3 linked regions of the Oryzias latipes genome follow. The protein of the gene in region 3 purifies or fractionates together with the protein of the main gene of each other region. This does not show direct contact. Links are inferred from orthologs where the notes say so. Each region holds a gene or a part of one and is shown on either strand. Other genes may lie near its edges.

Region 1 (4,295 bases), on a different chromosome or scaffold from region 3:
AAGAACCTTCACCGACACTTTACTCTGAAATTTCATTTACTTCCCTAACAGTTGCACATTCAGTTTGTTTAGTATATAAACTGAAAATTTGTAATTTAATAGCATCTTTGAGCAGTAATTACATGGTCTGAAGTGTATTTTCACTACATTTCATAGTAAAAATACACTTCAGACAACATAATTAGATTTTTGGTATTTGGAAGATCATAATTCGGAAATCTCTGACATCACATTGTAGTTGCATTTTCGGGAACAGATTGTAAATATTCGAGTATTCAGATACTCGTAACAGCTCTATTGGGCTAATATATCAACAGTCTTTGAATGAGTGCTACATATTCAGGAGTCCAGATGGCCACAACACAAAGATGATTACTATACCGGCAAAACTCGTCTGTGTCTTGATGGTCGTCTCCATGAAGATACACTAACAGGTAGCGGAGTTCCCGTTTGGCATCATTCAGTGCCTGCAAAGCAAACACAAACAGACAACACAAACGTGCTCAGTTTCTATGCCATTCCATCTATCCGCTTCTGTTAAATGTGTTTCTATTCTCTCCAACTATCTTTTCACCTGGCTGTAGGTCCCCTGGTAAAACACAGGATGTGACCGGCCATACTTCTCTTCAAAACTTTGAATAAAAGACACCACATCTCCAACAGGGTCTGTCACGCGACCGCGAGGATCTGGCCTAATGAACCGTAGGGCAAACCTTGAAAATAAAGGGGAGGACACATGTGAAACTCTATTGCTTTAATGCATAAATGAGCAAAAGTACCTTAAGCAGATGTGATTCAATTACCTGAATATGTCCAGGAGTGTGTAATATGTAAATCTGAAGGGGAGCATTATCAAGTAGTAACTCCATCCTAGTAATCCCTGCAAAATAGCATTTAATAGCAATTAATAATAAATAAATAAAAACTGAACAGCAACACACAATGACAAATCAAAAGAAAAACAGAGACGACTTCTAGAAAAACAACAGTGCCATAGTTTCAAAGACCATACATATCAAGCTAGAATAAACAATTTTTTTCTACTAATCTTATCTGGGGTTGAGATAATACGAATAAAGACATACCCGGGGTTGAGGCCGTGAAACGATGTAACTATAAACTCTATGGTCTGCTGTGTTAACCTGAAGCGGTCTGGATGGAGGAGGATTGAACACACTAGGAACTCCTTCCTGCTCATTGAGTCTGTCTTGCACTGCAGCCTGAAAACCAAACACAGCATTTCTAGACAGTCACACTTTACAATAGCTGAAGCTCCAATTGTTTGGACAGTGATCAGAGAATTTTCAGTTTGTACATTCAAGCAAGCAAAATGAAAATCCAATGACAAATTAAAATACCCGTTTGAATCATTATTTTTGTTTTAATGTAATTTAATTGTAATGATACAGTTTCTTTCAGTGGTTAAAAGTCAAAACAATTGCTTCTCCAATGTCTCCTATTCACAGTAGCAGTTAATCAATAACTGCTGATTCGACATTAAAAACTGTTCACTGATTTTTCAAAGAGACCCTCATAGGGTCCACAATGTGAGCATATATTTGGAGAAAAAAGAAAACATACCTCTATGTTCCAATTATGTTGCTCTAATGTTCGGCGACATTGGTCCATTGATTCCAAACCTGTTAAATCCTGTTAAACGTGAAGTGAAAGTCAAGCTGATGATGACAGCGGAAAGAATGTAAAACTAGTCAGATTTTTTTTGCCAAGGTCCCCCTCCTTAAGCCTCAAATTTAATGTTAAAAAAATAAAAAAAAATAAAAAAGCTTTTAAACAGACACAAATAGATCTATCAACATTCCTCTCACAGTATTAGATCATTAGTTCACCACAGGTTGGCAGCCTCGAAGAACTTAAGAGTAACAGATTTTTATGAGGAAAAACAAACAAACAATGATTTTATAAATATTTAGGGCTCTGAAATGGCTGAAAAAAAAAATAGAAACAGCATGATGATGTAGCTGACAGACTAATGATCTCACTAATGTAGCCTTTATGTGGCAGTAAATTGACTTTTGTTTTCAAATGTAAGCTCTGGCCTGCTCGTTTGTAACAGAAACTTGGGATTTGAAAGATTACGCGAAAAAAATGAATCCACAAACAATTACGTTAAATGTGACTGAGAGGCGATCCTCCTACAGTCTGAAGAATTCTGATCTCGGGTATAACGACAAACACGAGCAGACAAGTCTCTGTGTTGCAACGTAAGATCTATTGACACAACTGGAACGGTTTTTCTTTTCTCCCTAAAACTCCAGAAAGAATCAGGTTAGAATGACAGATGTGCTAATGCTCATAGGGAACGTCAGTGAAAACCTAAAATGGTATTTAAATTAAAAAAAAAAGAAAATAGTACGAAGGTAGGTAGAATATTTAAGATAAGGACTGGTTGTGTTTTTTTTTACAACACAAAATAAAAGTAGCGTTTTTAAAGCCACTCTGTGTCCCTGAAAGTCGGCTAACTAGTTAACTAGCTTAGCTATTTTAGCTAGCCTCGCTAACGCCAGCTCTGACTCAAGTTGACGTTGGGGGGAATTATCGAAGTTGACCGTGCAAAAAGGGTTCCCACATACAAATCTTAACAAGTTAACGGTGACTCACTATCGGCAAAAACATACCGACACACAAGCTATCACACATGTGTGTGGAAATGAAAAAAACTTAGTCTGTCTACCTGAAATTGAAGGAGTTTTTCGGTCTGCGCCTGGGATAATTCTGGCTCCTCTGGCGCCGCCATCTTACCTCGCCAATCATCTAGCAAGGCTTAACAACGTCAACCGTCTTTTCCTGGTGCGGTTCCGTCACGCGGTGTGCAGCGTGCTGCCCCCTACTGTTCTGGCTGTCACCCAGAAGACCAACAAATAAAAATACAAAAATATAAAGAAAGAAAAAAAGAAACTAACAATATAGTGTTTAATTAAAAGCTAAAAATAACACCAGTCTTCGTTATTTAAATTAATTTGTCTTTATGTAAATAGATATATCTATATATATAAATATATACTGTATATCAATATATACACACACACACATATATCTATCTATCTATCTCTCTCTATATATATATGTGTGTGTGTGTGTGTATATATATATATATATATATATATATATATATATATATATATATACATACACACACACACACACACACACACATATATATAGAGAGAGATAGATAGATAGATAGATATACATAGATAGATATTATTAATTTTGTCATTACAGTATAATTATTGTAATTATTTAGTATCTTTCTAAAATTGCTTAGATTTACCTATCATTTTTTTATTAAATATGATTGGGGTAAGTTAAAAGTAAAAGTATACAGTAAAAGTATTTAAAATGTAAAACAAATGTCCATAAAGCACATTTTATATGTAATATAGTCATGTTCACATTTATAAAAGTGAATCTTACTTTTCAGAATACCAGAACATGATTTTATCTTTGTTTTTTTCTGAAAGTATCACACAATTGACACCAAATGATTAAAAAAGGCATTTATTTGGAACGTCTTTATTTTATTATTGGAATTCAACGAAACACCTTAAACTGCAAAGAAAAATCCAGAAAATTCCAAAAGCCAATCTTGTTGAAGTAGTTCACAAAATTGCTGCGCAAGTTTCAATCATATGTTTGTCTGGTCCTTTTGGCTTTTGCACATATCACTGTTTTGTCCAATCTCATAGAGAGAGAGGCTAATTTTACTTTTTCCCCTCAACCATAATGATGTGATACCCAAACTTTGTCTTGACAGGAGGGTCTGTATAAACCGGTTTGTCCATTGAACTGATGGGTAACGCAAACGCCGCCTCCTGGAAAGGTCCGACCATTGATCCTCGAGTCATCCAGCCCAGGTCACCCTGTTGACAACACAATGATGAGGGAACCACAAAAAAATTGTAATAATAATTTAATTTACTTAATATTATATTAATTTGATAGACTCTTTGTTTCCCTTGGTATAGAATGCTCATTTTTAACTATGACCTTTTGTAAAATCTACTGTAACACAGTTTACACTCTGTGTGTCTTTCTTCTAATTGTTCTTTTTTAATATGGTTTGTGGATTTTCTTCATGGCTTTTTGACTGACCAAGAAGTCTAAATGAAAACTAGCCTTTTAGCTTAATTCTAGCATAACTGTATAGTTATGTTGTATGTTTTGAACATTCACTGTCATCTATTGAAATATAAAAGAGAATCGCTCTTAATAGTAGAAAACAAATAAAACAGCTTAGCCACAACATAGCTATGTTTAACCCATTTTTTTATGTC
Region 2 (3,482 bases), on a different chromosome or scaffold from region 3:
TAGTGATGCCTGTGGCCAGCGTGGAGACGTTGTTGGCGCTGGAGGTTATGAGCTGCAGGATGGAGCCCTGTGGAACCATGGCAGTGGAGGTGCCGGAGGTGGTCGAGGCTGCAACAGAGGCAGGTAAAGGTGCTTGGACCGAAACAACTGGGAACAAGCAGAAAGAGTTCAGGTCAGTTAGGAGGAGGACGCTCCATGGAGCAGTAAACGTGAATATTTTTAGTATTTTCTGAAAGGCAGATACAACCTAAACCCACAACAAGATGGTTTAGGACTAGGTAACATGAATAAATAAGGATCTAGACTGTCAGAGTCATGAAGTGGATTGATTTTTGTATTTGTTAAGACAAAATTACAGATTTTCTGCAAGCTGCTCCTGATTTGGGTGGCTTAAATCCATTTTTTAATACCCAAACAATTTTTAAACATGAATCAATATTTAGTCCATTCACACCAAATCCTAAATGTATTCAAATCATCAACCTGTGACTGTAAATCAAATTGGTTTAGAAACATGGCAGTGATGTCCAGAACTTGTTTAAATGAAAAACACATTCTGCTGCCAAGACTGAAGCCCCAAAATCTATCAACCGTCTCCGTTGTTCTCGTACAGACGGACACAGAATTCCACTTTGGAAAAAAAATGCTGCTACTCACCAGCAGAGCTAGACGAAGGAACGGTTGGAGTCTGCTTTACTTCGACGGTAGCACGGACCGGCCTGTTCAGAAAGATTGCTCATGCTTAGACTTGAAGACATAGGAAGCCCTTTGCGTCCATGACAGCACAACAATTGAACAGAAGAGGGCGTGGACACCTCGTTTTATTCCATTCAACACAGTAAAACAGCTTGCATGAAGGTTCAATTTACAAAATGGTTGCCCAAGTTTATGGTATGATGTTAAGGGGTTAAGCGGTTTGGAGTGTCAAGTCACCAGGTCTTAATGTCCTTCTACGTGTTTGCATGAAAGACAAAAGATTAAATACCGTTTGATTATTGTGCTTCATGACAATTGTCCCAGAATGCTTATGATTGTGTGACAGCCTCAAATTAACATTGTAGTCCTTCCGTCATATTCTCGAAAAAACTCCGGTCTTCTCTTGACTCTGAGTATCTCATTGATTACGTCACGAATCTCTCTCCACCTCTCAGTTGACAGTAAAGGAAACCGACGGTCAATGTACATCCTCATTGCTCTCCTCAAGTTTGTGGGCAGTGCCTCCTTTCCCATTAATCCAACGTAATTGACCTTTGCCACCCAGTCACAGTAGGTGTCATAAGGGACCAAGTAGCGGAAAAGGTAAGATGCGTAACGGTCAGGCCTGGGGGTTCCTGAGCTTCGCTTGCAGTTGTTGTACAACACGCTCTCCAAATGGGAAGAAATCGGGCGGAGTTTAACTTCAGCTCTGCATCTTCCTTCACTGAACTCTGCCAGCTTTGTCGCCATGGCAATCTGGTGTGAGACATCTGTCTCTTGCTCGTACCCCATGTCCTCTTCTTCCATTTCCACCTTGACAGACAGTGCAGGGGTCTTACCGAGAGAGGGTGCCATTCCCTCTCTGGGTACCTCAGGCTGCGGCTCTACTGTCTGCCGACGGAGCACGCTGTTGGAAGAAGAGGTGCAGTTTTAACTACACTGCTCTGCCTGCAGAAACGCTCAGGCTTCATATTGTAGAACGTCACAAGACTCAGGACCTCGACCCACGGGGGGGGTTTACTTTGAGGGTTCATAAAACAAATGTTTTATCATCCCGACCAATCTGTAGGATTTTGGACGTACAAGTGAGACTTAACCCTTAGGAGTCCAGGGTACGATTGGCCGTTTTTGTCTGAGTTGATCTTTATATTTTCACCATAAAACAGTTCACCTTGCCCTGGTTGGTAGCATTTTTTTTTCAGTACAACCTCACCTAGCTTTCCCTTTTTGCTACACTGGACCTAAACTTAACAAACCTTTTGGCTTTTAGCAGCTATGCAACTTTTTAAATGAAAAGGCAGCCAGTGTCTCAGCCAGTGTCTCAGACCAAGACTCAAATCACTTCAGCCGAATTCACATGACCGCATCTCAATCATGTTCAATTTTTGACCCAACGTTTAACGTTTAAAAATGCAGCCAAGCTTTTCCCCCCTATTTATATATAAATAGGAGATTTGAGCAGATCCACAAAGCAGTTTCCTGTCCAGCTTCACAAACAGAGTCACTTTACTTCAAAAGCTGCGTCTTTCCTGATCTTGATCACCTGAAGGCTGCATTTGCTTTTCAGCCTCCCTGTGTTTTAGACATTATCAGAATCTGTGTCGATGGGCACGGGAATGTGGATGCGGCCTCCTGCTCTGGGGAAAACCTGTCTTGTTCACACTAAACCATCTCCACCATCACGTCTGTGTGTCACAAGCTGCATTAGCTTGGCTCTGCTCGTCTCAAGGTGCGAGGTATACATGTTTGTTGTTCCCCTTTCCAACAAGTGCAGCAGGGCAGTACTGAATCAGTGAGCCCGGTTTCTGTGGGCGGAGTAATACCGTTTGAGCTGATCAGATGGGTCAACCCCACCCATGTTCCTGTTAGTGTTGGACAGGGCATGTCTCTCACAGCCCAGCGTCCATCTCCACTCCTCGCCAGTCTGTGGCACATGCAGGATGGGTGGTGCAGCACAGACAAGTGGGCCCTCTCCCAGATTTTTGTATAGGGCATTTGCTTCCCCCCCTTTGGGGCATCCATCTGCTCTCCTTGTAGCCGCCACATGCTCCAAACGTCCGCTGTCTGAGTCCATGAACAGTTCATATATATGCAAATATGGCACCCAGTATCAGGATAGGATGGCTGCGTAAGGTCCACGTTCTGTTGCAGTTTTTTCCAGTATATATGGTGGATTTCACAAAAGAGTGCTCGACTCAACCAGTACAAAAAGTCTCAGCCCCCATTATATGAAATACAAGTCAACTTGTCCTTCTTGTACATCGTCATCCTTTCATTCCTTGGCTGGTGATAATCCTGGCAGGCCTTTGTCATAGCCTTGAGTTCCTTCTTTCCATCATTTTTTGCTTCTTCTTCTGGGTTACTGATGTGAATGTTCCAAAATATGGACTGGAATCAGTTGGAATCTGTTTTTTTGTCATCAACTTAGCTGGTAGGGGCTTGGACAAAGGGTGATTTTGTCTCTTGTAGTTCTAGAAGGCTTGGCAGGAACACCAACGACATGTAGAGGCGATCAAAAGGCTTGTGGAGATCTCCATCTCTATATCAGTCCTTATAGTTCTTCCCTAAACTTTCATTTTTCGCAGCACCATCATCGATGTTGGTCCAAATTGTCCTGACTGTGTCAAAGCAACAAACAGCAAAAATACGTGTTTTGGACAACAGTCAGGACTTTCATCCACTTGGACTCCTGGTGTCCCCCATGGTTGGAACCTGCTCACTGCTGGGGCAGTATCATAATCCACCTCTCTCCTCTACGACTCAAAGCTGACGTATGGAGGAGTGTC
Region 3 (4,370 bases):
TCAGCATGGACCCTCCAGTTACTCCTGTGCCCTGGTCAGACGTGGATGTGGATCTGGGTTTTGCCCTCTTCTTCTTCTTTCTTCTCTGCTTCTTTTTGCTGGTGACGATTGTCCGCTGCGCTCAGCTGGTACTGGACCCTTACGGCGAAGTTTCTCCTTCAACATTCCTAGAAGAGGAAACTGAGGAATCATGACATGGATCCCCTGTGTATGACGGATGATCAGAAAATAAAATTGGAAACGCAAATTCTTTGGACAATTTCTACATTTTTGAATTTTGGTGGAATAGTTGTTGATCACTATCATGCAAGTATATGCGGTGGGGTTTCACGTGTGCTTAAGTGATGTGGTTTTACATTTTCTTAGGATTGTTTATGTTATAAAGTTAATCAATATTGACCTATGGGTTTCTCTTCCTTTGACCTAAAAGCTAGCTGGATAGGCTTCAGCAATCCCTATGACCCACAACACATTTATGCTACATTTTCTTGTTCTTGCTTTTTTTTTTTTACTTAATTCTAAGTCTTTTTTCCCTCTGCTGTCAGTTGCTATGGTGACAAACAAATTTCCCACGTGTGGGATCAATAAAGTATCTCTGATTCTGAAATAGCAGGTAATAGACGGATAGATGGATTTGTGAAAAATTATTTTAACAAAACAATTTTTTCTACAAATAAAGTGTTTTTATATCTATGTATGTATAGATAAATTTGCATAAATACTGGCTGATACAAACATTATTATTATTATTCATCAAGATCTGTATTTAACATTTTGATAGCCCTGAGTAAAAGCAACTGAACTTTTATTTCAGATGCTTTGTATTGTTTTTTTCCTTTTGTTCCAAGAATTTAGCACAAAAGTGACATTTTTTTGGGAAATTTTAAATAAATAATTTATTTCATTGCCAAAGTTGGTGAGTGTGACCTTCACCAACTAGGGGCTTTGGTACCTGTACAGAAATACATTTGAAATAGCACAAAACAACGTTCAATATTTATCATTGTCTGGTTAAAAAAAAAGTTGCTTTTGTTAACAGAAATAATTTAGGATAAATAAATGACTGCAATGTTTTTAAGCACTTTAACCAATACTAACTTTCTGATGCTCCTTAAGTTGAGAGTCCTTAAACGTCTACGGACATTTTTTAAGCAACGTAGAAATTACACCATGGAATTATTTTTAATACATCAAAACACTACTTGTTTAAATTAAGTAGATTAATCTGATAATGTTGTTTGTTCACAATAAAGTCTTTAAAAATGATGGTTAATGAGAGATTTAAAATTTACCAAACAAAATTAATCGAGTGTTCGCTTGTTTTGACCATTTTGAGCGAGGAGAACCAGGGCAATTGCGAATTGACGTTGATTTTTCCTTCCTATCTAACATTTGCTTAAAATCTTTACAGACCCCTGCAAATTTCTGAATATAAAAATATAATAACAAGAATCATATTTTTTGGTAGAACTTTTTGGACGCTGTTAAACGAATGAGTCGGATGTTTTGCTTCTACTTCACTAAGCCCACCTAACACCGCCCAGTCGGGATACCCTGGGAGCCACGTCAAGCGCTCCCTATTGTAGCTAGCTCGTAGCTTTAACGTAAGCTAGTTTTAAAGCATCGTCCCATAGAATGGAAAACGTTGAAGGGTATGTACTTTTTCCAGATGTTTTTTTTTTAATATAAAATACATAAGCCGCATCCTTAAGAACACCCCCCAGACGAAATAAATATGCACGTTCTACAGCCACCTACTTATGCACTCTTGGGTGTTTACGTTCATATGAAGCGTTTATGCTAAGCTAACCAGCTAGCATGCATCCAGTATCGAGCTCCAGCAGCATCTTGTCTCCACCATGCTGCTCTTTTAGCACCGTTTACTGAATCTGTGGAGATTTTAATTTGCAGCCCTTTCTTAAAAGAAAACTTGCTCTGTTTCTCCTTTTTCTGATTTTAAGTTATACTGTTTGTGCTAAAAAGGTAAAGCTAAACAAAAGAATTCATCCTAATTTGTAGACATTATTTTTCTGTAATGCTTTTAATATTTATTTAATGTGACGTAGTTGGTCCAAATTATTTAGTTCCACGATTTTCTTTCAAATTATTGACTAAGATCATTTGAGACCTTACTATCAGCTATTGATGGAAAGCCTGTTGTGTTTGTTGATGTGTTATCCCCAATATTTTGTTTTCTTTCCCTGCTTTACAGACTGTTTTTTTTAAATAAATCTCACAGTCTTTGTTTTTAATTGCTCTTTTATTGATTTAGTCACAGCATCTCTTTTGGTCTCCACATTTGTCATAGTAATTAATCATTTTAATATTTTAAAGCATTTCCAATTAATCTTCGCACAGTTTTTTGTATAGATCAAGAAAGTTTTATTTGATCATGGACACATTTTAGTTTTCATTTAAATGTTTTATTTTTAAATCTTTTTTTAATTATTCAACTTCTTTCTTACCGACTGTTCTTCTTCAGAATGGAGGTGGATGGCTGGGACTCCAGTCTGGAGGAAGAGTTTGGCATATCCCTGGATGAGCTGAAGAAATGGATTGATGAAGCTGTGGAAAAGAGCGACATTGTCCAGAAGAAGAAAGCTCAGCTGACGGAGCTTAAGGAATGGGTGGAGCAGAAAGAGGAAGAGGAGGCAAAGACGGAGATGCTGCTTACTGATGCCAACCAGTAAGAATGTGCTTCTGCCTTTGATTTATTTGTTGTGTCACCGTGTCTAGATGGTTGACGCCATGCTCCTCATTTCATTGCAGGTCTGTAATAGAGTGTGAGAAGCTGGTGAAGGAAGCTTGTAAGAAGAATGGTCTTGTTTATCGTGAGAGCGGCTCCGAGGATGAGGGAGGCGGAGGAGGTTCCCTGCCCTCTGAAGTTATAGAGATAGACGACGATGATGACGACGACGTTATTGCTGTTGGTTGTTGTAAGTTATATTAATTTGTCATGGAGAAAGTATGACTATACATTGATAAAAGATGTTTCCTCATTATTATCTTTTCCTGTTTTTAATTTACTCAATCAGTGGTTCCCCCAAACAAGACATTAACCCCCTCTAAAGACCCTGCGGTAAGAGATCAATTAAATGTTCGCAATAAACAAGTTGTTCTATCTTTAAATAAACATTTTTTATTTTATGTATGGAATGTTTCACAGAAGAAGGAAAAGTAATATGTATCTTTATTTTGACCAGATTTTGAAAAGATTTTATGCAGTTTAGGATAAAAAACATTAAGAAGACATTGGAAACGCTGAATGTTCTGCCTTTTCTTTGCCCTATCCATATGAAGTGAAGCAATAAAAAAACACAGTTACTTGATTTTTTGTTGTTAAAACAGTTAAAGGAAGCCTCTGCAGTTCTGCAGAAAACCTCCCACCAAGTTCAGAAGTTGGTCCAAATAGTCGCCAAGTCTCCAGCATCTGCTGCGTTGCTTCGATCTCCAACACAGCTCTCTGCTCCTTCAGGTGAGCAAATACTGATGCTCCTGCATCACAATTCTTCTTGATATCTTCCTCGACTTGCTCTCATTTGTGGCTCTTCTTCCTGCAGGTATTCAAAGCTCGGCACCAGCAGTGTTTGTGTCTCAGGCCCCATCCCAAGGAATGACTCAGCCGAGCCCAAACATAAAAGAAGATGAGCTCAAAATTGGGATGAACATTCTGGGAAAGAAACGCACGAAGACCTGGCACAGAGGCACTCTTGTTGCCATCAACCCTATTGGTGTGTTCTTTTCTCCAAGTTTCTTTAAATTAGTGCGTAAACACTTGTTGGGTTTTCCGGTATTTTTTACCTTTTTTAATTATTTCTTTTGTCTCTGGTGCTTCTGTCTAAAATCAGGAGGTGGGGTTTACAAATACAAAGTAAAGTTTGATAAAGGCAAGAGTCTGCTGTCGGGAAACCATGTGGCTTTCGACTACAACCCCACTCTGGAGAGTCTGTTTGTTGGGGCTCGAGTAGTTGCCAAGTACAAAGATGGCAACCTGGTGTGGCTGTATGCAGGAATCGTAGCAGAAATGCCCAACAACAAGAACCGCATGAGGTGGGTGCTCCCAAATCTAAAGAGGCCCTGTGCTGGTCATTATTTAAACAATTGCTGTCCCTGTATGTTTTGCAGGTTCTTGATCTTCTTCGATGATGGCTATGCTTCCTATGTGATACTTCCTGAACTTTACCCTGTTTGCAGACCTTGTAAGGGACTCTTTCCCAGATTTTAGTGATTTAAATGCACATTTTTTAATGAAGTTTTTAACAAAGAAGATCTTTCTTGTTTTTTGTTTACAGTAAAACACACTTGGGAGGACATAGAAGATGCTTCTTGTCGAGACTTTATCGAGGAGTATATCTCTGCCTATCCCAGCA

Evidence for each region.
Region 1: the proteins of setdb1 (region 3) and faf2 purify together in Homo sapiens (affinity purification with mass spectrometry; 3 studies listed by BioGRID and IntAct, counting the BioPlex papers as one, with this or other methods). This does not show direct contact. The link is inferred for Oryzias latipes from reciprocal best matches to the Homo sapiens genes SETDB1 and FAF2.
Region 2: the proteins of setdb1 (region 3) and atf7ip purify together in Homo sapiens (affinity purification with mass spectrometry; 6 studies listed by BioGRID and IntAct, counting the BioPlex papers as one, with this or other methods). This does not show direct contact. The link is inferred for Oryzias latipes from reciprocal best matches to the Homo sapiens genes SETDB1 and ATF7IP.

The regions. Positions count from the first base shown.
Region 1 is NC_019868.2:20,367,356-20,371,650, forward strand, and holds the start of faf2 (FAS-associated factor 2), read right to left. Parts: upstream 2,819-4,295; 5' UTR 2,756-2,818; coding exon 2,693-2,755; intron 1,651-2,692; coding exon 1,582-1,650; intron 1,221-1,581; coding exon 1,086-1,220; intron 881-1,085; coding exon 804-880; intron 714-803; coding exon 575-713; intron 468-574; coding exon 382-467; intron 1-381. Other genes in the region: pin4 (peptidyl-prolyl cis-trans isomerase NIMA-interacting 4), read right to left, coding at 3,723-3,881. UniProt on the Homo sapiens protein: Plays an important role in endoplasmic reticulum-associated degradation (ERAD) that mediates ubiquitin-dependent degradation of misfolded endoplasmic reticulum proteins.
Region 2 is NC_019859.2:10,792,938-10,796,419, reverse strand, and holds part of atf7ip (activating transcription factor 7-interacting protein 1), read right to left. Parts: intron 720-3,482; coding exon 658-719; intron 148-657; coding exon 1-147. UniProt on the Homo sapiens protein: Recruiter that couples transcriptional factors to general transcription apparatus and thereby modulates transcription regulation and chromatin formation. Can both act as an activator or a repressor depending on the context.
Region 3 is NC_019874.2:19,105,058-19,109,427, forward strand, and holds the start of setdb1 (histone-lysine N-methyltransferase SETDB1), read left to right. Parts: upstream 1-1,542; 5' UTR 1,543-1,635; coding exon 1,636-1,652; intron 1,653-2,482; coding exon 2,483-2,686; intron 2,687-2,769; coding exon 2,770-2,936; intron 2,937-3,035; coding exon 3,036-3,079; intron 3,080-3,348; coding exon 3,349-3,475; intron 3,476-3,560; coding exon 3,561-3,731; intron 3,732-3,848; coding exon 3,849-4,050; intron 4,051-4,125; coding exon 4,126-4,199; intron 4,200-4,292; coding exon 4,293-4,370. UniProt on the Homo sapiens protein: Histone methyltransferase that specifically trimethylates 'Lys-9' of histone H3. H3 'Lys-9' trimethylation represents a specific tag for epigenetic transcriptional repression by recruiting HP1 (CBX1, CBX3 and/or CBX5) proteins to methylated histones.